Caenorhabditis elegans: one gene and its partners. The protein of the gene in region 2 purifies or fractionates together with the protein of the main gene of each other region. This does not show direct contact. Each region holds a gene or a part of one and is shown on either strand. Other genes may lie near its edges. The genes, in order: F41G3.6, ddi-1 and F21C10.7.

Region 1 (9,433 bases), on a different chromosome or scaffold from region 2:
TTATGTAATACCTGATAGACAGCTCCAAATGCTCCTTTGGCGATAAACCGTACGACTTTATAGTCTAGAAGCCGATATCCTTTATCCAATTCAACGCCTTCAGAGACTTGATTCTCACTATTTTCTAAAGATTCGTGCGTGGCATTGACAATTGGAAAAGTTTGATGTTACCTTTACAAACCGTTCCCATGTTTCAACGGTGATAAATACACAAAATGAATAGAAATAATTACGAGACGGAAAATAAACATGATTATTTATCTTACGTTGTCTGTGGTAGAACTTTTCACGCACACTTAACAAAATATTTTTGAAATGTTCATAATTTTTACGTATAGGATCGTGATTTAAATTTTGAACAGAGGCTTTTTATGGTAGTTAATTCTGTGTTTCCGCTTTAATACCATCTTCCCTCGAGCTCAGCTTTTTCTTCTATAGATAATACCCCGAGTTCAGTCCAAACCTGTTACGCATAGAATATTCCTCTATTTATGAACTTTTGATAATTTTTTTTTCAACCAAGATATAAGCTTTCAAACTACGGTAATTCTAATATGGAAAATACTTTAGACCTCATTCCTAAATTGTCACATATTCTATGCCTTCTGCCTTTGATTTCTTCGTCTGAAATTTGGCAAGAAATCTGTTTACTAGTAAATTCATTTTCCAAATTTGTAGCTTTCTAGTCTAATTACACAGTCAGAAATCTGAAAATGAATCATACAATTTTCATAATATCAAAATGCAAAAACATTAAATTGTAGGTTTGGTTATCACTCAGAAAGATACACTTTTTTCGGATAAAACAATAATGTTTCTATTTCCATCTGCAATGAGTCAACTATTCAATTATCTAAACCACATTAGCATATCATAATGTATTGAAGATTAGAAACTAAACATAATAAGTAGATTACAGAACATATAATCTTATAGGACATCTGAAAATAATCTCACCTGCTACTTGGTCGAGTGACGTCAGTAATCCCCGTGTTTTAAGATTATAACTGATTTTCTCGATCTTCAGAATGCTCAGTCATATCAGAAAACTACGACTTCCTTCTCATCTGATTAGCTCTCAAGCATAAACATAAAAAGCTCCTTTTTTCTTCATTTGGGCTTCATTTTACCACCGAGATGCTCACACATCTGAAATTCTTGCTTCTAGTGAGCCTTTTTATCAACTTCGCCGTAAGCTCTGAAGACATCAAATGCGATGCAAAGTTCATTTCGAGAATCACGAAACTCTGTATTCACGGAATTACTGAAGATAGTAAGTTATTATTTTGAAGAATTGAAAGCTTGAGAACATCTAATGTCCTAAATTTAAAATTAAATTAATATCAAAAAACTTTCAGAACTTGTTCGTCTTCTCACAAGATGCTGCACATCTCACTGCTCCAAAGCTCATCTGAAAATGTTCTGCACCCTGAAACCTCACGAAGAAGAACCACATCACGAAATCTAAAAATCTAGAAACTATATTTTTTGTTGAATAAAGTAATTAGTTGACGAATAGTCGTTTTCTAATAGTAAGAGTGCTGCTAGAGGACTTCCAGTTAAGACCCGTTTTCGTGAATAATGCATCTACTGGGATTTCCACAGTAGTCAGGCAAGTCTTCATGACTACGTATTTTCCAACTTGGCACAAACGCCTGAGCTTGGTTTTCACCCAGAATAGATTACTAGATTATTATTTCTAATGTATAAACTAACTCAAAATAAATTCAAAATAAAAATAATATCAGCGATTTGCTCCGCCCATTTTTAAGCCAATCAGACGGAATTGGTAGAGATCGAAGATGCTGATTGGTTAGAAAGTGGGAATTTTGGAGGAATTTCAAATAGAGATTCTAACTAAAACTTTTAAAAAAATCGAGTTTTTTTGAGTTTGGATTTTTAAGACTATTCATGGTGCATCGAAGAAACATCCACATTTATGCTCCTCCACAATTTATAGTAGTCTCTTGTTTTCAGAAAAATCCTTGAACTGTCTGGAAGATATCCGATTCTTGTAAGCGTCATTGTATTTTCAGTGAATGGAACGTATAATTTTTCTTGTTTTTTGTATTTTAAAATAACTGTTCATCGAAAACAACTATCACCCACCTTAAATTACAGATTGTATCGATGGTATAAAAAGAATATCCCGAGAGCTATTTTGTTCATTTACATTTCTTTTCTTGCCCAAAAACAAATGTAAATTAATTTTCAGATAATGAAGCTTCTTCCTCTCATTGTGGTTTTTGCTCTTTTGGCAGTCATATCAGAATCATATTCTGGAAATGACTTCCAACCTCGTGACAATAAACATCATTCCTATCGTGTGAGTCATTCTGAATAAGTTGCATTTTTGTAAATGAATAATTTCAGTCATGTGGGGAATCGTTGAGCCGACGAGTTGCATTTCTGTGTAATGGTGGAGCTATTCAAACAGAAATACTAAGAGCTCTGGATTGTTGTTCCACTGGTTGTACGGACAAACAGATCTTTTCTTGGTGTGATTTTCGTAAGTTAACAAGGAAGGAGAAACAGAATTATTCAGGTTTAATTTTCAGAAATTTGAACAGGACACAAATAGTTTCTTTTCTACTTTGCCATGTTGAATAAAAACATTGTTTCATAACATTTTCCCATTCTTTCATTAACATTGGCTAGCCCACTCAGAATTCAGAACTTTTCACAGAAATTTATTTCAAATTGGCAATAGCAGTAAAATGCGCAATGATAACTGGCAAAATAGTCATGGGATTATGAGTGAATGGATGAAAAGGATACCGTTCAAAATATAGCACACGAAATGATTGAAAGCCGGATGGGAGAAATAAGTACATAAATAATATGAAATTAGTGCCCTATCTTTTAAGATTGAACACCTCATTGACCAAATTGCTGAGCTCATCTTTCTGGTGCAATTCTGGAACTTGTTCGTGCGCGTCAGACGTCAAATCGAGAATGATCATTTTCACTTGCTTGCAGTACATTTGATCGCCCAGCTACAAAAAATATTATTGTTGATCAAGAATTTAAGTTATAATATACCTTAAACTCTGGAAGATTAGCGACAACTTCAGATCTCTGGCATAAACACATCAGAATTTCAACTGTCAGTCTCATTACAAGTGGCTCATCCTCTGTGATGCTCCACAGCGTGCGAACAGCGTCCGCCATTGTTGCAATGTCGTCTGGAGCGAAAATACAAAAACTTTAATGATGAATTCTTAACATTATATCTTACTTGAAAGTTGGAAGAAAATTGCAGCGAGAGCATCGATTAAATCATAACGTGATCCCGACGAATAGATACGACGAACAAATTTCTGGGCATCTGGAGATGCGGCGACTTCGTCAGAATCACTGAAGACGCGAAGAATAGCTGAAATTAGTTTTGATTTTGGAAATCTACAAGTGATAAAACAATATTACCAAACAGGACATTGGCTCTCTCATCGATTGAAAGTTGGTCCAGGGAGCATTGTGAGAGATATCGTAGCAAAAGACAGGTCTGTGTGATTCCGACACCTGTGTTCCAGTCGCCACCTCGAGGATCAGTTGGGAGAGTGGGTCTGTAACTTAGAAACTGCGAAGTTTATACTTAAATTATTCTTACTTGTCGCGAATGGAAACCGCCTCTCCTCGTGGGACCAGTTGTGATGGATGGCACCGAATTGCTGTTCCGAGCCAGGCAATAATATCATCATGTGTCACTTCTAGAGACAGCTCTCCGGCAAGTCGAACCATCGTTGTGTACATAGCTGAGAATGTATTTTTTAACTTAATTTCAATGAAATAATATTACCAATTGCAAGATCATTATCCGGGTGACAGAGAAGCCACATTCCGACGTGACTATCGGAATCAAGTTCGAGATTTGCTTCTTTTCTCTTCTTGTGTTCTTCGTCTCGAGCTTGTTGATAAACCATGATGTCCCTGCTCTCTGTGAAGAGTCCCTCTGCAATAAAAAAACTTTGAATCTAAAAACTTCATATCAAACGCACTGTTTCTATTGAAAGTTCCAAAGTATCGCATTTCGATCTGAAATGGAGAATTAAAATTTGAAAAAAATGCCAAAAAATGAGATACGATTCGATCGAACGAATTGGTGGATCCAAACAATATGAAAATCGATCGAGAAACAACAATTTATAACAGAAAACATATTTAAACGAGCAACAAAATTAAATAATCAAACAACGTTTTGAAGAGACTCCACGAATTTGTGTCGGCGTTCGGCGGTAATTTGACACATTTTCTGAATATGAATTAAGTTAGTGATCGTAAAACTACATAACAATAAAATACCTTTAAAAGGGAGAAAGAAGAAAACTGTCCTCGTTCACGAACCATAACCATGTGATCATCTTTTCCAACAATTACAGAACAAGTTGCTCGACACACTGATATTGCTTCTAATGTTGGAGACAAGAGGAGAACTTCAGACTTTTTGTCTGAATTAACGTCAACGAAAATACCGAATGAACAGCACATCAAAGGTTCTTCGAGCGTCAATCGATGCATTGTTCGGTAATCTGCTTGAATTTGTGTTTTTTCAATTGTCGATTCGTCGCCCTCGGAATGGTTTAATACAATCGACGGGAGCTTTGCATCTACAAGAGCGGCACCGAGAGCGCACTGAAAAATTTTAAAATTATGTTTAAAAAAACAAAATCTTTTGTAAATACCACAGCTGCATCCAAAAAGTTTCCCTCGAGACTGAGCACTTTAACAATGATATGAAGTTGCCATTCCAGAGGCAAAGGTTTGCCACAGACATCCAAACATCGCAAATTTTCGCGTCGAACGAAACAATTATTTGTGAATAACGAAAGCAAGACACTGTTGCAGTCCTCTGCGTCTTTCTATAATTTATATGAATACAAGTAAATAAATGTTCAGTAGCTAACCTCTGATAGCTGCTGAGAACCTTCAATTTTGATATCCACCAGGGGTGCATCACTAACGAGTGAAACTGAAGCTTGAATTGAACACGAAACAGTCACTCCTTGGGTACTGACGACAGATGAACCAACACCGCCACATTCTCCTTGCTGAAAAATTGAAAAGTTTACATAGAATTGAATCGTGAGAAAAATTACCTTAAAAACAAGTTTTTGTTCATCAAGAAGACCACGTCCGTCAGGATAGACTCCTTCTTTGATAAAAGTTGCAAAGTATCCACGTGGATCAATGCCTCGAAGTACTTCTGATGACATTGTTGATTAGCCAATTCTTCTTATTTTACCGGCAAAATCAACGCGCTGCAAAAAACAAATTCTTTATAAGAAATAAAGTTAGGTGTGCACTAGGGCGAGTTTGCTTGGGAGACCTCGCAACAATTTTCGCAGACACCGGAGAATTGAATCCACAAAATCTCCGATCGTAGAACGGCAAAAAATAAGAGTTTCTTTTTTCTTGGAGAAATATATGGTGAAAACTCAACGCTTTTTATTTTTATTCAACACACCATCTAATTATTATTAATTTTATTGTTCAAGAACGAGCAAAAAAGAAAGTTAACAACAAAAACAACAACTTTAACAAGGGAAGTTTATTTAATTTTTATCAAATCTGACTTGTTCGGCAAATTTAGCAATCATAAGCGCCGCCGTGACGTGCACATTCAAACTTCGAGTATGCCCAACTTGTTTGATTTCCACAGTTTGATCAACTGCGCGTAGTAGATTCACCGGAACTCCTTCTTTTTCATCGCCCATAACAATCACAGCCTGAAAATAAAACATTATTTATTCGTTTTTCTTAAAATACAGCTTAATACCTTCTTTGGGAATACAAAATCATGCATCATCACACTATCAGTCGTCTGTTCAGCTGCGATCACTGTGTATCCGTTGGCTCGAAGATTTTGAAGATATGGGAGCAAGTTTGTTCGTTTAACCCCTTCGATTTTCTGCCAATTCTCTGAGCTCATGCTCAATGCTTTGAAGTTCGCATCCTGGGCGACGAGAACATCGGCAACGACAAGTGTGTCAACTCCAAAAATTTCAGACGTTCTACAGATTCCACCAAGGTTGTTCGGTTTATCCACTAAAGAAGCCACAACAATCAGTGAAATTCCACCGTCGTTCAGCTCGTTTTCCTTGACGATTTTCCGTTGGAACGAAGTTGATGCATTGGTATTTTCAGGTTGTTCATCGAATTCAATTGGAGATTCTTCTTCACCAACATCCTCATTCTCCATGCTCGGAGCACAACTGGCATTCTTCGACAGTGCAGAATAGACTTCTGAAGGAGCAGAAAGAAATTCTTGATCTTCATTCATAGATTTAATTTGATGTGTGATGTTGTTCATCTCCATGATAATATTATTTGGAATTGTTTCTTCGGGAGGCATTCCAGTACGTTTCGCAATTTCTGAGAGGATTGTCTGGAAGTTGAAATGATCATTGATATGCAATTTTGCAAAGTAGAAATCGGAACATAGATTATCAATGACTCTTTTCGAATTTCCAGACGGTTCCGCGTCAAAATTCACAATTGCTTTGACAATTCTCCACTTCTTCCGACGATCCTTATCAAACGTCGAGAACATGAGACGAGCTGCAGCTAGAGCTGTACATCTAACAGGGAAATTTTGAGCAGTGCACCATACAATCACTTTATCCAGACATGAATCTACAAATTTCGGTGCCACGCGAGCGATTAAATTTAGGACATTGAGCCATGAGCAAATTGAGCCAATTCTTTGGGAAGCCATATTTTTCTGGAAATTGGTGGTTTCCAAAAGAATAAAATTCAAAAAATACCTCAAACTCTTCATCGATGAGTTTTTCGAATAACTTTTCAAATTTAACGCAGAGCATCGCCAATGTCCATTCAACAATTAATTTGATCGAAAATTGTTGGCATGGATCCACGACACAATTGATGCAGAAATCAAAAACTTTCGAAGCAGATTCCTGAAAATTGAGATTATTTTTTTGAGAAGTAAAAGAAAAACGTACTTGATCTTCAATTTTCAGAGCCAATAAATGCAGCAATTCTACTGCCCTCGTCTTCTGTCGATGAGCCATTGATAGACCAAACGATCGGCTTGAACTTTGATCCATGATGGCGGATGCTTTAAAGATCTCTTCAATTAGTGCGATTCGCCAGGCGTTGCCATCAACTACCGTTGATAATTTTAATGCTAACAAAACAGCTTTGAATCTTGCTGTTTGAACGACTTCATCGAGTCTCTCAACTTGATCCTTCTTTAAATATGAGCCTTCTTCTTCGAAAATCATAGAATATGCGTATGAAATAACTCTTGATTCTTTCTTCGGAACAGGCCCAAATAAAGCAAGCTTCACAATAAATGGCGCCCAATTTACATCTAAATTTGTTTGATACTTTGTAATGGCATCTACAAGAATCAGAGCAATCGGAGTACTTTGGCTGGCAACTGCTAACTGAGCTTCCAATAATTCGATTGATTCTTGAGCAATAACTGGATCACTTTGAGGGCCACTCAGAGCCACATGGAAAAATGATCGAAGAGCTGGAAGACTGTTCAGTGACTTTTTCTCCTCATTCACAATGCTTGCAGATGCTCGAATACAATCCAGAGCCAACTTGTGATCTGTACATTTCTTGATAAATCTTGCAATTAGTAGGCATAATTGTTGTTTAACTGGGAAAGCTGAAGCCACATCAAGTTGTTCCACACATTCAGAAAGAAATTGATTTTCGTCAACATCTTTTATAAATCTATAATTTTTTTAATCAGTTTCAATTTCAGAGCATCAACATACTTATTGAGCAGGGACAATCGAAGAGAATGAAGTGTTGCAGAAATCTGATTGAACTCCTTTGTTTCATATTCCTCTACCGATCTATAATTTAAAAAATATGATTTTCTTCGATTTCATTTTGAATACTTACTTTTTCATCCTTTTCATTCCGATAACTTCATTTCCTCCGAGATACTTGTAAAACTCAATTGCCAATGTTTCGTAGCGCTCTTCTGGAACATTTTCGACAAGAGCGTTGAAGAATGTGAGGCATACTGTAGCTGATTCGCATGTTTTCAAATCTCCTAATACTTGAACAACTGCTAGAGCAAATGGTATGCTCAGGTGGGAACAGTACTTATTGAAAAGTGGAATGTGAAGCGATTGTAGTAGCTCCAGCTCTCGTTTGGAACCTTTGTTTGATATAATCTGCGTGAGAATGTATTCACCTAGATCGTTTTTCATACATTCAAGAACATCTGAAAAAAAATCATAAATAATATTTATTTTAAACGAAATTACCACTACTGAAATCCATATTTTCCGGCCGTTCCTTGAGTAAAAACAATTGAGATGTCAAATCAGCAGTAGGCTTCTCTCCTAATAATTCAGAAACTTCTAATTGAAGTCTTGACAGCATTCTTTCCTTCTGAATGGTTGCTTTTCCCATTGAAATCCACCACATTTTTGCATGCAATCCTAAATTTTTGGAATCATTTCCAAAAGTTTGATGGAAAACATTTTCGTCCTGGTTTTCATTTGCAATGTATGATGTTTCATCGAGAATATTTTGAATTTCTTTGAACACGGCATCTATCATTATAGATGTGGCATCTTGTGAAATGTAGGATATTAGATTTGAAAGCTCGTGGAGAAGGGTTCCATCCTGAATAAAAGGTTAAGAACATTTTGAAATTTTCCAAAATATTAATAAAACTTACCAATCTCGTAATTTTTGCATAAAAAACTATCAAATTGCGAATCGTAATTATTCTTATCGACTTGTGTGGAATATATCTCGCTTTCAAAACAACTCTTCTCAATAATGGAACATCGTCAGAGTTCAGAATTTCAGTTTTGGCAATTGATCTGAGAGCGGATACAACAAAGAAAATTGCAGTCGGACAGGACATTAATTCAATAGAAACCAATAGATTTCGGATGAAATCTGGGGTTTCTCTGATTGAATTGAACATTGAACCAAGTTGAATCAGAAATGCATCCATTCGTCCTTTTTCCAAGTTTCTCCAGAAGACGTCATTATTATTGAGATTCGGTATGATGAGTGATGTAATCACATGATCATTATCCTTTAGAATCGATGCATCAATTGAAATACTTTTCTCAATCGCCCAAACTCGAATCCATCCATTTGTATGAAGCATAGCTCGGAATAAAGCAACTTTCAACCATTGGAAATTGAGTTTTCCATCACGAACCGAATTCAGAAGCGTGTCGAATCGAGGTAACACTGGACGAATGATGTGAAACTGTAAAAAAACCAATTGTAATTACATCGCAAACAAGCTTTCCGCCGAAAATGCGATACCAGGTCTCGACACGATAAGCGCCTTTAAAAAGTACTGTAATTTAAAACGTTTTGTTTCTGCGGAGTTTTCATCGATTTCGAAAAAAAGTTTCCCGTGATTTGCTTATAATTTATGTGTTTCTATTTGAGCTTTTTTTATTATCCAAAAACTATG
Region 2 (9,959 bases):
GTTCTGAAGATTGTTCTTCAAATGATCTGCAAGACTGGTGGAGCTCTATGGAAAGTTAATATTCCGGTTAGTTCGGTTCAGCATTTGGTTTGAAACCAAAATCTAATTTTCAGCTCAAGAGCACAATGATCGTCGGATACGATCTGTACCACGATTCGACGTTGAAGGGAAAAACTGTCGGTGCTTGCGTATCTACAACTTCCAACGACTTCACGCAATTCTATTCTCAAACAAGACCTCATGAGAATCCAACGCAGCTTGGAAACAATTTGACCCACTTCGTCCGAAGTAAGATTATTAATTTGAGGATAAATGGCTTAATAAGAAATTTTCAGAGTCTCTGAAGCAGTATTACGACAATAACGATAAAACTTTGCCGAGCCGATTGATTCTCTACAGAGATGGTGCTGGAGACGGACAAATTCCGTATATTAAGAACACCGAAGTCAAGTTGGTCCGTGACGCTTGCGATGCCGTGACCGACAAAGCTGCGGAGCTGAGCAACAAAGTTCAAGAGAAGATCAAACTGGCATTCATCATTGTCACGAAACGTGTGAATATGCGTATTCTCAAGTATGCATTCTGTTTTTAACGTCGGTAATGAAAAGTTTTTAGGCAAGGATCGTCGTCTAAAAGTGCCATCAATCCGCAACCAGGAACCGTCGTCGACACAACTGTCACTCGCCCAGAGAGAATGGACTTCTACTTGGTTCCGCAGTTTGTCAACCAGGGAACTGTAACACCCGTGTCCTACAATATCATCCACGATGATACTGGTCTTGGTCCGGACAAGCATCAACAGGTAAACCTACTCGATCTGTCATTTCCATCAAATTATATTTTTCAGCTTGCATTCAAATTGTGTCATCTCTACTACAACTGGCAAGGAACTGTTCGTGTTCCAGCTCCGTGTCAATATGCCCACAAACTTGCTTTCTTGACAGCCCAATCACTTCACGATGATGCAAATGGGTACCTCCGTGACAAGCTGTTCTTCTTGTAAAACCCATCCTGTGGATTTCCCGTTTTAATCATCTGTTCTATTAATCATATCATTGTAATTGTTCAAAATTTTAAAAATCTCTGTTTTCAAAGAACTTTTATTGACTTCCTTTGTTGTAGCACACGCTGTTATCGCAAGAACGAGCTCAGTAAATAGTCAAGTGTTTTCAATGCGGTTGTTCCCGTTTTTCAATAGTGATTGCATGCAACCTTATGTTGTGAATAAAGCTATATTTGTTAACCTTTTCAAAACATGGATGTTGAATATTTTTACGGCTTCTTCTGGAGCTATTCTAGTCTGGAATTTGGCACATTCTTTAACAAATGCTAAAAGGCAACAATTCCTAATCTTGGGAAATGGTTCAATAATTGGTTCGTATTTGCGGATTATTTCTGAGTTCACATTGGCTATTGAGCTCGCGAGTTTTGGAAACTAGGTTACAATATAATGGTTCATGAATAAAACGTGTTGAAAATCATAAGGTGTTTCAATGGAATGTATATATACAATATATACATAAATAGGAGAATAAATTAGAAGGAGAAAGTGAGATGATCAGAGCACGAACCATCCACGGTCCTCGACGTATGGTGTTTCCAGATTCAATCCGTTAATCTTTTCGAACTCATCATCAGACAGTTCCAAGGAAAGAGACTGAAAATTGAAGGTTTTCATTTTCGTTTTTCCGATATTTCAACAAAAAAACCTGATTTTTTAAAAAAATAGCTTTAAAATTTGGTCGTTTTTCCTCCTTTCAGAAGAATTTTTCATCAACATAAGCAACATTTCATAAAAATTACATTTTATGGTTTATTTTCTGAATATTTTTTCCTAGTTTTTTTTTACTTTCAATTTTTCAAAATTCACCGTGTAATTTTCTGCGACTCTCGATGGAGTGACCGACTTGGCAACGACACCATATTTTCCTTTCATAATCCATGCCAAGATGACATTCTGTAATAAAACTAGAATTATGATCATTCGTCATCACTTCACTTACAGCAACTGTTGTCTTATGACACAAAGCAATGCGCTCCATCGTTGAATCACCCAGTAGAGTCTTGTTCCCACGCCCGAGAGGAGAGAAAGCCTAAAAAAGTTGATTAAAAAAGTTTTTTACTGGGAATATTTACTTGGAAAAGAATTTCGTTTTTATTACAGTAGGCGCGGAGGACTTTTCGCTGGAAGTGAGGATGATATTCGATTTGATTGACTTGTGGTTCAATTGTGATGTAACTTCTCATCTCTTCAATGTGATGTGGTTCGTAGTTTGAGACTCCGATTGAGCGAATTTTTCCCTCGGCTGGAAACGGATAATTGATAATTTTTCCAATTTTTCAATAAAGATTGTAATAATACCATGCAACTTCTCCAGTGCAATCCACGTATCTTTACGATACATTTTGTTATTTTCATTAAGATCTTCAGTGTCAAGAGGACGAGGGTAGTGTACAAGAACCAAATCCAAATATCTGAAATTTTCATAGGAAATTTAAATAGATTTTGATATTTCTTCTTACTTTCTATCTAACAATTCCAGTGATTCATTGACATCTTTTCTGATTAGCTCAGCAGCATTTTTACTTGAATACGGAAACACTTTGGATGTCAAGTAGATATCCTCAGAACAAATATTGTGACGTGGGAGAAGAGTCTGAAAGTTGTTTGTCAAAAAAATATTTTCGATCTAGCGTATAACCCAGATGACAAAATTTCCGCTAAAACTACTGTACGCGGTCTCGAAACGACAATTTTTGTTAAATACAAACAGATGTGCTCCATTAAAGAGTACTGTAAAAAATTTTAAGCTTTCGTTTCTGCAGAATTTTTATTGATTTTCACACGAATGATAAAAATGGTTGTGTCTTTAATTAAGAAAAACTACGAAAATCAATTATAATTCATGGTGCAACGTGAAGAGAATGGAATTACAGTACTCTCTAAAGGCGCACACCTTTTCGCAATTAGCAAACATTTGCCGCGCCGAGACCGCGTAACGTATGTTTGGCACAAAACGCGAGTCTGGGTAATGATATATTTTCTATCAGATTCTTTTTTTCCTAAAAAAGCATGTTTGCGTTTTATTTCGTTAATTCATACTTTAAGAGCTAAACCCAAATCCTTTTCATTTTCATAGTACTTCGCTGTGTCGAAACTACGGTATCCAACTTTGAGTGCTTCGTCGACAGCTGCGAAAAGCTAAAAAAGGTAAAATAAAATAACGAAGTTCAAAAATAAAAAATATTCCAAACCTGATCACCTTTGGCTTCGTATGTCCCGAGAGCCAATTTCGGAATTTCTTGTCCGTTCTTCAGCTTGAACATTGCTGCTATTTACAAAATCTATTATACAACCTGAAAAACGCCTGTGGCAACAAAATGGACAGCGAAAATGAAAAAAAAATATATATTTGAGATATTTACTGGGAATTTCCCATGGGAACAACTCGTGGTAGTTTCCATGGAGAAAAAAGAAGTGATACGCACAGAAAGAGTGTATTTGCAGAAAAAAAAGAATTCCGTATAATATTTGCAGTGAAGAAAATACAAGTAAAGTGGCATTGAAATGTTTTTGATGAAAAGACAAGGAGATTTGAAGGATAAATTGTAGGGGCGGAACTATGTGGATCCATCTTCGAATTGCATTTCTTCTTCAGGAAGTGCCATAATCTCTTTCAGATGAGAATCAATTTCATTGGATTGAAGGAATGGAGTTGTTGTTCCGTTGCCAAACTCCAATCTCAAAAAGAAAAAAAAATTTAGATTTCGCGAGATTTTCGTGAGGGAAACATACCGTGAAGTTTTCAGATTAATACAACACCCATGCTTACGGAGCACATTAAGCCCGATGAGAAGATCCATCTCACGACGAGCCATTACCTCGAATGGGCATGAAAAGTGAGCATCTTCAACTTTCACATCGCCTGAAAACATTTATTAAAATGAATGTGAATCAATGTTGGAAACTTTTGACTCACATAAATGAATCTTTCCCTCGATTTTCTCTGTTCCACCAACTCCTCGGGCCATTGACTGGAACCGTCTATCGATTAATCCATTAAGACCACAACGTTCAGCACATGCCATTGACATGATCGATTTTTGAGCTCCAGAATCAATGAAAGCTTTGACTGGAACACCATTTATAGTCAAATTGATGTAGAGCATTGTGACGGCAATCATATCTTCTGGGTGGTGGGTCATTGACTGAAATTATAACAATTTGTATATATTTACAGGCTTCTATTGTAAACTTACGTGTAAATATTGTTCATCAATCAGTTCTTTATTTCTTTTCGCTTCCAAAAACATTTTTGCTTCTGCTGAATTTGGATTGTTTTTGATAATTTCTTCCTTGTGAACTTCTTCTTCGACGTAGGAACGGAACATTTGCTCGAATTCCTCTGAAAATTAGATAGGCGTCAGATAAAGATTTAAAAAATGCGCTACTCACTGTAAGTCATATCTTTTTTCGCCAAAAAGCGTTCAACAAGTTCCGGCAAACCGTAGCCCAATTTGTGTGGCTCGTTTTTCAAACGGAAGAACATATTTTCTGAGAGCGCTTTGAACGTCGCAGGAGAATCCAAAAGTTTCCGAGAGAACATCGATTTTTCACCTTCATCATCTTGTTCAACTCTCCGTGTTCTCTGAGCAGACTGTGCTGAGGAAGACGATTGTCCATTAAAAATACTCGACGCAGCTGAAGCGAATTGCGAGATGAGCCGGACTTGTGCTGGAACGATCGATCGGAGATCTCCAGACGGACATGGGAACGCAGTGGTATATATGTAAACCATTGAAATTTGAGTGACGCCAAGTTGCTGAACTTATAGTATGATTAAGATTTTCTTTAACAATTCGATTTACCTCTAATGTCACTGTTGGACCAAAATTCTTCGATTCATCCGAAATATCGTAGACAATTGCAGTATCTTTCCAAATCAGTATTGCGTCGTTATTCAGATCACCAATCTGCAAAAAAATTGAATAAAAGATTACATTTAAGTATTAAAACTAACAGTTGTGTTTGGTGTAACACTTTTCTTTTGGAATGGTCCATCGTTAACGGCTACGCTCACTTGGAAAGACATCTGAAAATTAGAAGAATAAATGAGAAATGAGATTGAAAAAGGAAGAATGAGAAAAAATCGAAGAACATTTGCGTATTTGTAAATGAAAACGCTGCATCTCTAGAGCATAAACGCATCTAATCGATGAAAAAATTAATTACACAAAACCGTTCTCTCGGGAAACTTTTTGTCCTTTCAAATAAAGATTCGAAAGTTAAAAGAATGGAACCTGAGAATTTGTGAAGTAGAACATTTTAACTTTAACTTTATAAGCTTTCTCGACAACAGCTGTTCAAAAAAGTGTAAAAACTTGTCTAAAACTCGAGAAATTCTCGTGATGAAGGACGAAAACGGTGCAAAACGATGACAAGGAACAGATATGAAAGTGCGCCCCGCTGAGAATTTTTGAATTAAAATTGTGAAATGACTGTAATTTTTGCTGGAAACTGCCAGTAAATGAGGAAATATGTGTTTTACGAAATAAATTATTATTGCTGTCGTTAAAAATTCACGATTTTGAAAAAAAAACTTAACATGTTTTTGCTTCAAAAATATTTTTCCGAGAAGCTACAGTATTCCGACGCAAAATGTTTGGTATAATATTTTTATTCTCTCAAAAATACATCAAAATACAGAAAACAAAACAAATCAAAAACATTTATTAACCCGTAATGTTCTAAAATTTCGCAATAATTTTTGCAACCCTTTCAATAATACGACTAGATAAACCAGGAGATAGTTGAAAATGGAAAAAGTTGCCAAAAGATTCGGCTTCTCTTAAAAAGAAACTCCATCCTTTAATCAATCGATAGTGTCGGACAACTGCAATTTCTGGCTCCACAAGTCGGACTCCATAGATCGGATTTCGGAACTTTTGAACTCCGTGCACACCCATCGAGTCAACATTTCGGGACCGAATAATCGATTTTGTAGTATGATTCTGCGGTGCCACGTGGCTGGTGTTATGCCAAGTAATCATTGGAAGATTCTCAATTTGAGGAGCACCAGAAGAAATTTCAGAATATCGAAGAGTCCATTGACAACGAAAACGTAGTTCAGAGATTTTATGATCATTGCAATTTCTGTCAATATAGAGAGTTGGATAAAAAAGTAAGCAAAATGAAAACCTGATATAATCTAAAAGAGTAGATTTCTCATCAATCATCATGATCCTTTCGTCCAAATCAACCGTTGCCACCCAGCTTGAGTACTTTTGAGTTCGGAATACACAGTCCTGAATTAATTTTATTTTTAAATTAAAATAATTGAAACAAACCTGTAACTGCATCTCATGTCTGCATCTATGACGATTTAGACATTTAGTTTCATTTCCCATTTGTATTACTTCAAGGTTTGAGGAATTTCTATAGAAATCCAAAACATTTTCAGTTTCCTTTGAGATGTTGAATGAGTAAATTAGAAAATGGTCAGCGCCCTGAAATGCACTTTATTTCTAAAAATAACTACTCTACCGTAACCCCAAGACACTAACCTGCAACTTATAATATTCAATAAATTCCATCAACATCAACACTTTCGGAGATTCTCCATAAAGTGGAGCAAGACATACAGTAAACTCTGATTTGTTCTTTGTTTCTTTTTCTTTGTAAATCTGCTTCATATTCCCTGGAACATCCTTTTTGTTTATAGTTACAGCAACGAACTCGGCTTTTACTGAGGAACTCTCCGAGCACTTTATTGTTAATTCGGGGAAAACTGCCACGGCTTTCTGATAGATTTCCTGCCTATTTTCATCGAATAAACGACAGTAGACACGTCGGCTGAAAATAATTATAGATATGGAATGCTCACTAAGCTTAATGGAGCTGCTGCTCAGGAGTAGTCACCCGATCTTTGACCAACGTTTGACCCCTAATATTTAAACATTGCAAAAAGTAGTGATTTCGGCTTACATTCAGACATTCAACTGAAATCTATTTTATTTGAAAGAGTACGTATAAATGTGGTCACTATCAAACATTTAGCGGTAGAAGAGCACTTTTTGAAAGCAAAATAAATAATTTAACAACTGTCTTATAAAATTGTTTTCCACTTCTCATGTTGTTGTTAAGATGTTTTCTGAACCTAGAAACTACGTGGTGTGTCTTCTAAACAAATTTTAAAGATAAAACTTAACATTTTTGAACGATTCGAGTGAAAAATTACGTTTTTTTCCGAAAAAAAACTCCAATAAGCTACCAGAATGTTCACCAACTCGGTAAAATTCATAAGCGCCAAATCAACTTTTTGGAGCAATTTTAAGGATCTCTGAAACAGTAGAAAAAAACTAAACTGCATAACTTCAGATAGTCTTTTTTTCTTCAATTCAAAGTGTTGCTCAGCCGCTAAATTGTTTTTGGGGACTTATTTTGAAGGCTCTATCTTAAATGAAACGATTTTCATTCGAAATTCTAAATCTGAGCCATCTACACATAAGACATTTCACTTTAAAAAATATGTTCATTCTGTTTTCCCTTACTTTAAATACCCATAGGACGATAAGATTACTGTAGTTCCATCATCTCCAGTAAAAGAAGAGAATATCGTGAGTTTATCTGCATTTGAGTAACCGATAAGTACTGATTTCGAGATGACACCTTCAAATTGAGGTTTTGGCTTTTGAGCGAGTTTTGTGGTTGGCTCCAAGTTTTCAAGATTTACCGGTTTCAGAACTTCTGAAAAAAACGCGATTTGATAAAAGTACCATAAATTAATTTGCTGTTTCAAATTTTTTACAATAAATAACACATTTCGTGTTGCTCTACTGTATTTATTACAAACCCTAAAAACACCTACCGTACTCCTCATCGAAATAATCTTCTCCATGAGCCGACAAAAAATTGCCAATTAAAATGCAAAAAAGGGGGAGAATAACCAGAAAACCGATGAGAAAAGTTAAAAATTTTATACGAATTCGCATAATTAATGAAGATCAAATCAAAAGCGAAAGCGAGAGAGAGATGATGAGAAATAGAGATATAGAGAATACAGAGAATCGGAACGGCGACATTTGACCCAAATTGTACGATTTTGTTGAGACATGGAACGGAGAAAAATGAATATAAAATTGTTGCGTATGCAAAGAAAAAGGTGGGAATTCAAACATGATAAGCAGAGGGGAAGGAGATAAGAAAAAAATATGATAGAAGGTGTGGTAAGGGTAACAGGCACAAAAAACCTATCAGCCTGCCTACAAGCATGGTGGAACTCTGAAAATGCTGATACGCCTGAAAGGTAACCGTAGGCAGGCGGATAGGCATTTTATGCCGTCATGAAAACCCTAAGTTGGGGACTAAAACAATAGAAACTGGTATTTACTCAATTGGTAGAAAAAAGAAAACTGATGCATAATATTGCATCAGAACTCATAAATCTTCCAGTAACGGTCCAAATTAATCCGAAGAAGATCGTCCAATTGGTTTGGGATGTCGTCTTTCAAAGTGAGATGTCAAGAAATTCTCATTCAGAAATATTTTCCCACAATCGGCGCACTGAAATAACTTTCAACATTTCAAAATTAATTTTATGGTAGGTTTATGGTAGGTGAGAGTTTTCAGTACTTTTTACTATAAATCGAATTTTCAAATAACTTTCAAGTTAGAGTTAGAGTTAGTAATTTGATTTTTTTTTATTTATTTTTTATTTATTTATTTTTAAATTTTTTTTAAATTTTTTTTAAATTTAAATTACAGCCCAGAGGGATCACCACCAGGCAGTGTACCTGAATCCCAGATCCGCAATGCATAGCACTTGAAGAACGGATCGTCCTTTAATCCTTTTTAATCATTTTTGAAACAGTAAATTATGATTAGGGCAATTAAGGAGAAAATGTTTTTATTTTCTTTTCTGACGTTCCACCTTTAATATTTCTCTACTATTTTTGTCTTTAAACATACTTTATATTTATCATTATTCTCCGGCGAGCCACCGGACGTTTTTCTTTCCATTTTCATATTTTTTGGTTTCAATATTCTGGATATGTTCTCCGATTCCAGCTTCTCCATATGTTTCAGAAGTTCTTGCTGAGATTTCTGAAAAATAAATTAAGCATTTTTAAGTTTAAAGTTAAAGTTAACTAACTAATAAATGTTCAATTTGAAGTTGTGCTATCCTCAAAACTTTTCGATATCTTTCTTTCACTTTGTCATCATTTTGGGAAATTGAGAGAATTGAGGGAAGTGCGGCTTGAAGTAGTGGAAGAGTTCCGACTCCGGTTTCAAGCAATGGAACTGATATTTCATCTGAAAATATGGTAAACTTTATCCTATATTTCTCCAATAACTAAATATGCATACATACTCGTCAGGGTGGGGAATGAATATAGCGCCGCATTCAGGTTGGTGTAAAAACTACAAATAAAAAGATTTTTCCTAGGAATCTAACAAAAAATTTATTCCCCACCACGTATCCAAACAAAATCATGCGATTTGTTGCTTTTTATGAAAAAAAAAAAGAAACTAAATTTGTCTGAAAATCGATGAGAATTATGAGTTAAGAAAGTTTGCTCCTGAATATATACCAAATGTGTTTCTGCTGAAAATTGGATTTTTAATTTTTGAAAAATTAGAAAACGCTGTTTCGCAAAGTATTTAAAAAATTATACATATAATATGTTTATTATAAATGCAAATATAATATAACTCACCTAAAAGTGCCCAATTTGGAAGATTTGTGGTGATAGCGATTGCTGTAGCTGTTGCTTGATATTCTTCCTCTGCCATTTAAAGATTCTAAACGTAAGAATTTGATATGTTTTAACGGTGAAAATGCTTTCAAGCAATTGAGAAAAATAATACAAATAACCAGATCAAAAATCAGAAGGCCAACAAAAATTTTCCTACTTAAAACTTGAGAAACGACAATAAAAAATTTTCAAAGCTAAAAATA
Region 3 (10,419 bases), on a different chromosome or scaffold from region 2:
TTCTACAAAGTCTTGATGTTGATGTTGAACCCATCCTTCTCCAGAAGTTGTTTCAGTAACTGTGCTCGTGACTTGTTGTTGCTTCTGTTGTTGTTCTTGATAGTTTTTCTGTAATAATTTGTTTAGATATTTGGAAAGTTAAACAAAACTAACATCAACATCGCTTGTAATAACTTCTGTCTGCTTAACAACTTTTGTAACTTTCTCCTCGTGAGGTGTTGCCAGAATATCGTCGATTCTATCAATTTTTGGTGTTTCTTTAGTGAAAACTTGACGCTCCGGTTGAGATGGATTGTGTACTTGTGCGATATTAGCAACAGGCTGTGATCCAGTAGTTGTTGCTCTGTGAGTTTCTGGTTGTGCAGCTTGTTGATACTTAGCAATATTTTCGACTGATGGGCTTCTCCTCGTGAGAGTAGATATATGAGATTCTGGTACCGGAGATTGTCTAATCTTGGCAACATTTTCTAATGATGGTGCCTTTGTAATGGATGACTGATGGGTTTCTCTCACTGGAGTTTTTCTGATTGTTGCAACATGTTCTGAGGTTGGTCCTGGAGTTGTTCTTGCTTCATAAACTTCTCGTTGTGGTGATTGTCGGATTGTAGCAATATTCATAGTTTTAACTGTTTCGTTTGAAGAAGTTGATCTTCCCATAACTGGTTGAACTGGCTCATGTGACTGTCCGATGTGTGAAATGTTAGTGGTAGTTGTGGTTGTATGATATCCAACTGGCCTTGGAGATGGTTCATGAACATTATGTGAACTGTATTGATCCATTCCTGATACTGTTCTAGTTTCAGTAATATCTACTTCCCTCATTGGTGACCAGATTTCATCAATTGTATCAATCCATCTCTGCTGTGATTCAGTTTTGCGTACTTCTCTGATTTGCGGAACTGGAGAAATAGATCTTTGGGACAGATGTTCCTCAAAATGTTGTTCAACTAGTTCAACCCATCTCTTCTCATCAACAATTTTTTCAGGTTCTCTTGGTTGTGGGAAATCTGTTTTTTCTCTTGTTTCCAACTCCTGACTCTTTTTAGTAATGATGGTTTGCTGAACTGGTTGACCAATTTGTTCATTCATATCTTCCTGAAGATGGTGTTCCGTTGTGACAACTCGTTTAAGGGAAGGCTGAACATGTACAGTCGCTCCAGTAACAGCTTCTCCAATCTCATTCTCAGCTACTACAGTGTACATTCCAGCATTAACAGGAGAAATTTGCTGAATCGTGAGTCTAGACCAACCATCTTCTTGCTCTGAAATCTGCACTTGGCTCGAAGTTTGAACAGGCGAATCGTTAAATTTCCAGTGAACTCTTGGTTTGGGTTCACCATATGAGAATACTTGAAGTGTCGCAGTTTCTCCCTCTTGCCACGTGGTATTTGTAAGTGCTGGTTGAATAACCGGTGGTCTTTGAATTGGAGTTCTTGGTTTTGGAGGGGTTTGCGGAGGTGGTTGCTTCTTTGGAACAACTCGTAGTTGACAGAAGTTTGCTACTTCTCCATGTACATTTTTCGCACGGACTGTGTAAATTCCAGTGTCTAGGGGAACAGTTTTATCGATGATCATTTGACAATGATCCCCTGAGAATGTTAAATGAACTCGTTCGCTTTCTTTTACTGCAGTTTCTTCTTTGAACCAAGTGATCTCTGGTTCTGGTTTTCCAACAACTACACAGTCGAGACGAGCTGTTTCCCCTTCATTCACTTGAACACTTTGCATTTGTTTCACGAATCTTGGTTTGTCTTCTTCCAGAATCGCAGATGACATTGCACTTCTAGCTGTAAAATCAAACGTTCAATAATAATAATGCTCAACTTGAGTAAAACTCACATTTTACAATTAGACTAGCACTGCTGGATGCGGTTCCACCTGTATTGGTTGCTTTTACAGTATACTCAGCAGTGTCCTCAATGAAACTTTCTTCGATAACAAGAGTTGCAACTCCATTCACATATTCCTGACGGTAATCCATATTGCTCTTCACATCAATTCCATCCTTCAACCATGAAATTGTTGGTTCTGGCTCTCCATTGATTCTTGCTGAGAATTCATATCGACAACCTTCGTCAACCTAAAATTAGAAAAATATTTAATTGAAGTTTTTAGAAAAAAATTGTATTATTAAAGCTAAATTCCAATGGATTTCGAGTAACTCACTACATCATCTTTTAGTTGAGTGATAATCTGTGGAGCCTGAACTCGACTACGTTCCTCCTCCTGTTTTCGGACAACAATGTTTTGAGAAGCAGCCTGCAAAATTAATTTCAAAGTGTTTATTTTTATTTTTTTATGAGCTTACTCTCTCATGAAGCTCCTTCACTAGTTGTTGAACTTGTTGTTGCTTGGTCATGGTTTCCTGTACTGTTTTTGTAAATGTTTCATCTTTTCTAAATCTTGATGCATCCTCGAGTCTTCGTGTCTGAGCAACAACTGTTTGCTGAATTTCATTGACTTTTTTGATTTTAGTCTCTGATTCTTGGACTGTTTTTGGAGTCTTATCAACCAACTGAATTATTTCGATAGTTTCTTCTTGCCACATTTGGATCTCTTCCACAATTTTCTTCAGAATCTGAAGTTCTTGCTTCTCTTCAGGAGTCAATGTTATTTGAGTTTGTTCAAGGCTGGTGAGCTCGATAGTTTTAGTCTCTTCAATCGTTTGCTGTGGTTTTGAAAGTTCGAAAGTTGCAGAAATAGCCTTACGCTCCAATGTTTCGGCCATTTCCCTGATAACTTTTTGTTTTTCAACAGCTCTTGAAATTTGTGTCTTCACTGCAATATCTCTAGCTTTTGCCACAACATCCTCAATTTTTGGCTGCTGAACTTCAATAGCTTCTTTCACGAGCTTTACTTTCTCTTGCAATTCCTGGCTCTCCTAAAATTAGTAAACAGTGAGAAAAATTTTAAAAATTTATTACCTGAACAGTTTTCATTGGCGTACTATCAAACATCTTGATAATTTCAATCATTTCTTCTTGCCACATTTGGATATGTTCTGTTACTTTCACGAGTTTCTGTTGCTCCAACTTTTCTTCCAATTCAACTGTCAGATGTTTGAGTTGTTCTTGAACGTGCTCTACCTCTTCCATTTTGTGCACAAATTCGGGAACTGAAAAAAAAAATAAAGTTTTTCAAATGCATTCAAGAAAAAACAGCGCAACCGTTGCAAACAAACCTTGAGACATTTTTTTGACTTCTTGAATTCTAGCTGACTTGTGTTCGATGGTCTGTTGCAAATCATGAACTCTGTCAATCAGTTCATTGGCTTCTTGAATGCTTGCCGGCTGAGTTCTGTCCAACATTCGGATAATCTCAATAGCTTCTTCTTGCCACATCTGAATCTCTTGCACCACCCGAACCAACTTTGATACTTCCAACTTCTCTTGAAGTTCGATAGTAGTACGACGGATTTGTTCTTGATTCTCAATTGTTTTATGCAGCTGAGTTTGGAATGTCTCATCTAAAAATTGAAATCTTTTTCTGAATGTTTTAAAATTTAAACTAACTATGCGAAAGTGTTTTGCATGCTTCCAAATGTTCGCTCTTCTTGTCGACTTCAACTTTCAAATCTTCAATTTTTCGCCTTACTTGCTCGAACTGCTCTTGGTTGTTGGATTGAGTAGTGACAACTTGATTCATGTTTCTTATTATTTCAACCATTTCTTCTTGCCATATTTGCACATCTTCCACAATTTTGAGCAAAGAGGTAAGTTCAACTTTCTGGCTCAACTGATCAAGCCGTGTTTTGACGTAATCAGTTTTATCAATTAAAACGTTGATTCTACTGATTTGTTCTTCATTTTGGTTTTCTTCTTTCAATGTCTCTAATGTTGATTTATGCATATCAGCAGCACTTTTGAATGAAGCAATCCTCTTCTGAATCTCCTCAACTTCCTGAAGCAATAAATAATCTACCAAATTACAGTGAAAAATTATTCAATACCTCTTTCTTTGTGACCGTTGAGTTATCGACCTTTCCAATAAACTCTAAAACATCTGTCTGCCACATTTGAATCTCTTCGATTACAGTTTCAACTTTGGTTTGTACATTCTAAATTTTTAAATTACTTTTGCAAATCCTACATTTTATCGATTTACCTTATCTCTCTGCCACTCAGTCCATTTGTGTTGAACGTATTTGAATCTGTTCTCATGGTCGGTAATCATATTGCGAACTGCTTCTTGAGCTCTTTGGATATTCAACCACTCGTCTGATTTTCCGATTTGAGTTGCATTTGATATGAACTTTTCAGCTGAAAGATTACGTTTTAAAAATACCAACCAAATTATGGTAACAAACCTTGATGTTTCTCTTGACTCAAAGTTTCTAAAATCATCTGGAACACGTTGGAAATTTGTGCCGCCACTTTCTCATTTGTATATTCTTGATTGTTCTCCAAAAGTGTTTGAAGAGCATCAAATGAACCTTCAAGGTCTTTTCCAAACTTGTGAACTTGCTCGTAAGTGGAGCCAATTTGAATTCGGTTCTCCGAAATGTCTTTTATTTTTTCATACTTCTTCATAAAATCGGTCAGTTGTTGTTCTTCATCTGGAGACATTTGTGGCTTCTTGGCGAGAAGACTCATAACGTCAGCGTCTCGGTTGACGATTTCAGTTGCAAATTGTTTATGAGAGACAACGAAATCACGAGCATCATTCAAATTTCCACCCATATCACCTTTCTGTGCTAAGAATGCAGAAGCTTGTCCATCCAGCCATGATTGGATGTTTGAGAACTGGAAATTATAACCTTTGAAGTTATTATAAATTAATGGTAACGTACATGAGAAGTCGTCTTTCCAGACTCTTTCCTTTGCTTTGCAAGAGCTTCTATCTCACGCAACTTTTCTGACAAATCTTCAACGTATTGCTTGACAAGTCGTTGTTCTTCGTAGCTCAGAACTTCTTTTGCTGCAAGAATAATTTTTACCGATTCTTTTTATTGATAATTGACCTGTTAATTATTTTTAGAAAACTTACAAGCGATATCCTTTCCTTCGTGGATAAGAGGAGATGCTTTCTGCTTTGCCAAAGGTGCTAGCTCTCCAGCCATAGCCGCATTTGCGCATTTCATGTCTTCAACCATCATATTCAACTGAGATACCATCGATTTTGCGGCTTGAAGGAAAGCGTGAATTCGATGTGATCGATTCATTCGGGTTTTCAGATAATGAAGGAATTCCTCAATTCTACCGGAAAGATGAGAAATACGTCCCCCGTCTGATGATGGACTCTGCGCTAGGTGACGAAGACGGGATACATGCTTCTGAAATGTGTAATTGCTTTTTCAGGTACATAAAATTGAACCCACATTTCCTTCAGTAAGAACATTTTTCTGTCCAGCATCGTTGAGAGCTTTGACTTTCTTTTCCGCATAAGTTAGCCATTGTTCAATAACAACGAGTTCATCTTCTGTTGTAGTTGTAGCATTTTGTTGTGTTGCTCCCGACTTTCGCTGCTGCCAAAGTCCTTCGGATCGTTCCCAATCAGCAGCAACTCTTCAATTTTACTTTTTAAATAAAATGTTATAATTTTAGATCTTTAAAAAAAGTTGCAGAACTATATTCCTAGGTTTTAAAAAGTTGCTTACCTCAACATAACACTTTCAATTTTTACTGATGCATCTAAAATCTCTTGTGGTCTCTCTGGATTGTCATCAAGTTGTCCCAATGTACGAATTTGTGAAATGACGGAAGATCCCAAATCTACTACAGAAGCAGTTGTGTCAATGATGTCTGAAATTTCAGATTTATTTTTTCTTATTATAAAATCAAAGCTTACCATTAATAAGCTTATCGATGGATGATTGAAGTTGTTGAGAGTTTTGCTCGTTGATTTGTTGCACAATTTCAATAGTTTTAGCATTGGATAACTGCAGTTAATAAAATCACAATAAAAAACGGTTTCAAAAATCAACTAACCTTTTCATGACTTTCAGCCAATGTATAAAACTGTACAGTCTCTCTGAGCATATATCCTCTGAGGAGAAGTTGTCTGTTCAACGATCTCCACGTCTGAAGATGCGACATTTTTAAGGTCGTACTGAAGACTAAAAACATGAAAACGCATTCCGTCTGGATTCCTACACTACGCAGATTAATGGGCTGATTTATGTGCAGCTGGGTAAGAATACTAAAAAAACCGAAATGCATACAAACCTCCCGCAAACTCTTCGCCATTTCGTCGTAAACAATCGCTTCGTTCGGATTCGTCTTTTCTGCTCCGAGGCTGTCGGCACGACTCAAGAGAGCTACTACCTGGTCATCTTTGTCCTGAACAGTAGAAATATATTATAATACAACTTTTGACAGAAACTCACTTGAAGCCTTCTGATGAGATCATCATGGATGTTGAGCAAATCTCTAGCTTCTTGTGATGAATTTCCTATCGAAAGTAGCTTCGGCTGCATTTCATCAACACGAAGTTGGATATAACCAGCACTCTAAAGAATTTAGGTTTAAAAAATTAATAAAAATAGTTTCAACCTTTAAAAGTGCAACTACAATTGATGCATTGACACCAGCTTTTACAGCAATTGTTGATAGTGTTGTTGTTGATTTATCACCCTCTTCACTATGTCCTCTTTGCGCTACAGCGCTGAGGTTGGCGTCATTCGGCGCCCCTCCTGGCGCCATTTTATGATGGTATTGTGATCTTTCTGAAATATTGGAAAATTTATTGGTTACTGAAAAAAAATTAACATGATTTGAGCGAGATTGTTAAATTTGGAGAAATATGCAAGATCCAGTGTCAACAGGTAATATAATCTCAGAGTTTAGCACCCCGGGGCAATATTACTAACAAAAATACGGTAATCTGACATTTTAAAAGATTTCAAAAACTGAAAACCGGAGAAAGAAAGGATGATGGATCAAGCAAGAACGCTGAAAACTGGGATGGCTTTCCAAACAATTGGCAATTGTTGATGGCAAAATTTGGAAGAGAAGGGAGCAGGGTGAAAAACAAAAAACCGCTTGTTCTGACTTATCAAAATATGTTTAAAATTTAGACATACGTTTTCTTTTAGTCGGACTTCAAAATAGGTGTCTCTTTGTAAAACTTGGAGTATAGTTAATTTAGTTTACATACAATACTCCAAGAAAAATAATATCCAAGCATAAAAATAAGTAAGTACAAAAAATTAGTATAAAAAGTGCCGCCCACTCCTAAGGTTGTCCAACTTTCTGTGGTGCTCTCCTACTATTACACACGTTCTGACTGGGGATCCTCTCTCATCTTCCTCTTGCTTCGGAAGGAAGAGTGTAAAACATTGAGCCAAAGCACATCAAGAAGTGGGATGAAGCAGGAAAGGAGAGATAGAGAGAACAACAACACAAAAATGCGGGCGGAGAGGCGAAGGAAGAGGTGATGGATAGAGAACAAAATGGAGCAGGAGCATCAGATCATTGTGGGAACAGAAGAAAGCCGAGAAAAAGTGATCAGTTAATTGAATCTCGTGTATATTGATAAAAAATTGATAAAAATGATTGAAAGGGGAAGGATTAAAATTTATTAAAAACTTGTTTTTCTCAGATCAAAATCAGAAGTTTCAGGAAATCAACTAGCGTTAAACTTGTAAAAACGCACTGTTGAATGAATGAGTATCTAAAAACCAATTACAATGAATGATAATTTCCTACTTGAAATTTGAAAAAAGTTTTTATTCAACTGTGTGAACGGAACGCCAGGTAATTTTTATTGAAGAATTAGCAATGGTAACTAATGAAAATTCAAAATTATCACTCAAAAAAATTTGAATTCTCTTTGTTTGAAACAACCATTCAAAATTATCCGTCTGGTATCGAAAAAAAGAGTCGAAGAAAAATTAAGAACAGATGTACTCTAGACACATTGAAGGCGCCAATTGTTGGTGATGGCGGTGTTGGTGAGTATGGTGTGTGTGGTCGTGGGACCCGTCCGTCGGTTGTTTCTTATCCGCCCATTACAACGTATGGGAACACATCTCGACGGAGTTAGCCAAGAGATCAGCTTCTTCAGATTTTTGTCCAGTGCCACGTTTTCGGATGCTGCTTCTGCAGGCATTTCCAATCGGGAAGATTTATTGCAACAACACACATACAAAAGGATATTCAAGTTATTTTTCGAATATTTGTGTGAAATTTTCGAAGTATTCGGGTAGCAATCAGAGTTTTTCTAAATTTTCACGTTTTGTTTTCACACTACAAGTTTTATGCTTTCCGCAAAAACATATGTAGGCTATTAACATAAAACGGAAACAACAAAAATCTAGAAAACATAATAAACACAAAATTTTCCACATGGTTTGTATCTAAGTTATCATAGGAAATTAATTTTTAATTTTTGTCAAATATGATTTGCATTTGTGTTCTGAAAGTTTAAAAAACTCTAAAAGAATTGCTAAATATTTTTGGAATAAAGTGATTTTTCTTGTATATGGAACATTTTATTGAAACAATTGAGGCAAGAATATTAAAATGGAACAATATGAGCATCAACATTATTACTTCTTTCTTCCATAATACTGTTGCTGTTGCTGAGTTTGCTGTGCATTCATTTGTTGATTATTCGACTGTTGTGTTCCTGTATTAGGTGATCCCATTGATTGGGTGTTGGTCTGTTGATAATCTCCAGTTTGATATTGTTGATTGTTCATTTGTTGGTTGCTGGTCTGCTGATATTGGGAGTTTTGGTTCTGGCCATTCGACTGTTGGAATTGATTTTGACCATTTTGACCATTTTGTTGCTGGTATTGAGTATTTTGGTATTGTCCATTTTGATTTGCTTGCTGGAATTGTGAGTTTGATCCCATTTGGTTTCCATAAGCATCACGTTGTGGGGTATTTCCAATGGCATTGGTGTTTGTAGTGTTTCCACAATTTTGAGCGTTACACAAACATGGAGCCTGTAAAGATAAAATGTTAAGATTTGGGCTCAATGAGATATTTGTACCGTTGGCATGGTTGGCATTGTTGGGATATTTGGGAAAGAATTGTTGACTGATGGAAGAGTTTGGAAGACTGAGTTAATCCATTGGCCAACCTATAATCGAAAAATTAGACGACTAAATAACATTTTAAATTCTTACATATCCGTTTACTTGGTTCATGTATTGATCAACGCTGTTTCTGTATTGTTGAATTTGTTGAAGTTCTTGTTGAGTGGCTTGTCTAGTCTGTCCATTTTCAATCACTTGTCCATCCTTATACTGACAGTTTCCATTGTTGAAAGAATAATCCATAAGGGAGACACTGCTACTTCCACTGCTAGCTTGACTCTGGCTCATTTGGGAATTTTGATTAGAATATCCATTATTGGAATATCCTTGCACTTGTCCAGATTGTCCCATTTGATTTTGTCCAGCGTCATATTGTGCTTGTGTTCCGTAATTATTTTGTTGTCCTTGCTGATACTGATTAGAGTTTTGCTGGTTGTTCATGTTTGATGTCGTTGAATATTGATTCGAGTTTTGCTGATTTTGCATTTGATTTTGATTGTACTGAGCCGTGGAACCATATTGTTGATTTTGGTTATATTGAATTGGTTGAGCGGTTGCTCCGTTGTTGTATTGAAGAGTGCTAGATCCATATTGATCATATTGAGCACCTTGGGAAGGTTGATATTGTTGATTCGTAGAATACGCGGCTGCAAATTGATTCGTAGTGAATGTCTGTCCATTGTTATCGTCTAAAATTATTCTAACGTTTTTCTAAAGTTAGTTTAATTCTGAGTTAGTTCGAATCATAAAAAATTGAATTTTAACTCACATTGTTGCTGAGCGGCTACCGCAAGAACGCAAACTGATAAAATCGTTAAAAACTGCATGATTCGTGAAACTTCTGTTCTTTTTCGACGACCTTTTCACTTATATACTCAATGATCGGTTGCCAAAATGAATCAACGCAAATAGACTCGTGGACACTCCGCCTCTTTCTATTTAACTTTCTTACTTTTCAACTAACTACTGTGGAGAAGAAGATTTGAAAATCCAAACAATCTACACTCGGTGTTTACTAGAAAAAAGAAAAGAGTGACAGTTTGCCACTTGATCACAAAATAATGATGATGAAGTTTTGATTGGGTTGTTATAAAAAATTGACTTCCTCAATTTCGCAATTAATTAAAAAATTTCTAATTTATAATGTTTCTGTTTCAATGAGCTTGCTTCTGTGACATGGGTTCAGAGATGTGAAGTAAATATTTGAGAACATAAACTATTTCGGAAGCGAGATGAACATTGTAGTCTTGTAGTAGTGGCAATAATCTTTTTAAAAGTTAAAAGCTGTCAATAGTTTATTTCGATAATCAATTTTTATATGGATTGTAAAAGTCGGTGTTGAAATTGTCCCAGTTGTATTGGTAATATGGGTACAATGGATTGTACGAACTTTGAGCCGAATAGGTTGGGACAACTCCGGTGCCAATCTGATATGT

What was found.
Region 1: the proteins of ddi-1 (region 2) and F41G3.6 fractionate together in Caenorhabditis elegans (co-fractionation; one large-scale study listed by BioGRID). This does not show direct contact.
Region 3: the proteins of ddi-1 (region 2) and F21C10.7 fractionate together in Caenorhabditis elegans (co-fractionation; one large-scale study listed by BioGRID). This does not show direct contact.

What each region holds. Positions count from the first base shown.
Region 1 is NC_003280.10:6,737,516-6,746,948, reverse strand, and holds F41G3.6 (DUF2013 domain-containing protein), read right to left. Parts: upstream 4,036-9,433; 5' UTR 4,030-4,035; coding exon 3,999-4,029; intron 3,953-3,998; coding exon 3,800-3,952; intron 3,756-3,799; coding exon 3,611-3,755; intron 3,567-3,610; coding exon 3,427-3,566; intron 3,377-3,426; coding exon 3,239-3,376; intron 3,186-3,238; coding exon 3,043-3,185; intron 2,997-3,042; coding exon 2,856-2,996; 3' UTR 2,682-2,855; downstream 1-2,681. Other genes in the region: F41G3.5 (non-specific serine/threonine protein kinase), read right to left, coding at 12-124, 172-190; ins-14 (INSulin related), read left to right, coding at 1,138-1,273, 1,359-1,468; ins-15 (INSulin related), read left to right, coding at 2,219-2,326, 2,374-2,610; exos-8 (Ribosomal RNA-processing protein 43), read right to left, coding at 4,187-4,252, 4,303-4,632, 4,683-4,859, 4,905-5,048, 5,097-5,213; T14B4.1 (tRNA/rRNA methyltransferase SpoU type domain-containing protein), read right to left, coding at 5,553-5,726, 5,777-6,721, 6,765-6,917, 6,963-7,707, 7,752-7,832, 7,882-8,209, 8,253-8,616, 8,672-9,220.
Region 2 is NC_003282.8:6,518,008-6,527,966, reverse strand, and holds ddi-1 (Protein DDI1 homolog 1), read right to left. Parts: upstream 5,101-9,959; 5' UTR 5,094-5,100; coding exon 5,022-5,093; intron 4,975-5,021; coding exon 4,870-4,974; intron 4,824-4,869; coding exon 4,457-4,823; intron 4,407-4,456; coding exon 4,261-4,406; intron 4,210-4,260; coding exon 3,981-4,209; intron 3,927-3,980; coding exon 3,797-3,926; intron 3,743-3,796; coding exon 3,622-3,742; 3' UTR 3,396-3,621; downstream 1-3,395. Other genes in the region: C01G5.5 (NADP-dependent oxidoreductase domain-containing protein), read right to left, coding at 1,559-1,657, 1,871-1,957, 2,004-2,093, 2,137-2,306, 2,363-2,475, 2,524-2,657, 3,104-3,202, 3,256-3,327; gtnt-2 (Glycosyltransferase family 92 protein), read right to left, coding at 5,749-6,154, 6,200-6,306, 6,349-6,507, 6,565-6,853, 7,552-7,747, 7,869-7,992; dzpr-1 (C2H2-type domain-containing protein), read right to left, coding at 8,465-8,563, 8,969-9,103, 9,153-9,313, 9,718-9,793. UniProt on the Caenorhabditis elegans protein: Aspartic protease. Required for the cleavage and activation of transcription factors such as isoform a of the transcription factor skn-1, which in turn regulates the expression of proteasomal subunits such as rpt-3.
Region 3 is NC_003283.11:9,109,012-9,119,430, reverse strand, and holds the start of F21C10.7 (Ig-like domain-containing protein), read right to left. Parts: upstream 6,665-10,419; 5' UTR 6,642-6,664; coding exon 6,492-6,641; intron 6,449-6,491; coding exon 6,326-6,448; intron 6,279-6,325; coding exon 6,165-6,278; intron 6,021-6,164; coding exon 5,928-6,020; intron 5,879-5,927; coding exon 5,788-5,878; intron 5,742-5,787; coding exon 5,597-5,741; intron 5,505-5,596; coding exon 5,318-5,504; intron 5,273-5,317; coding exon 4,987-5,272; intron 4,918-4,986; coding exon 4,790-4,917; intron 4,743-4,789; coding exon 4,307-4,742; intron 4,260-4,306; coding exon 4,105-4,259; intron 4,058-4,104; coding exon 3,950-4,057; intron 3,901-3,949; coding exon 3,513-3,900; intron 3,467-3,512; coding exon 3,182-3,466; intron 3,116-3,181; coding exon 2,925-3,115; intron 2,882-2,924; coding exon 2,309-2,881; intron 2,260-2,308; coding exon 2,167-2,259; intron 2,081-2,166; coding exon 1,840-2,080; intron 1,788-1,839; coding exon 154-1,787; intron 109-153; and 1 more. Other genes in the region: pqn-31 (Prion-like-(Q/N-rich)-domain-bearing protein), read right to left, coding at 8,489-8,890, 8,938-9,027, 9,074-9,672, 9,753-9,810; F21C10.18 (Nematode Specific Peptide family, group B), read right to left, coding at 10,291-10,419.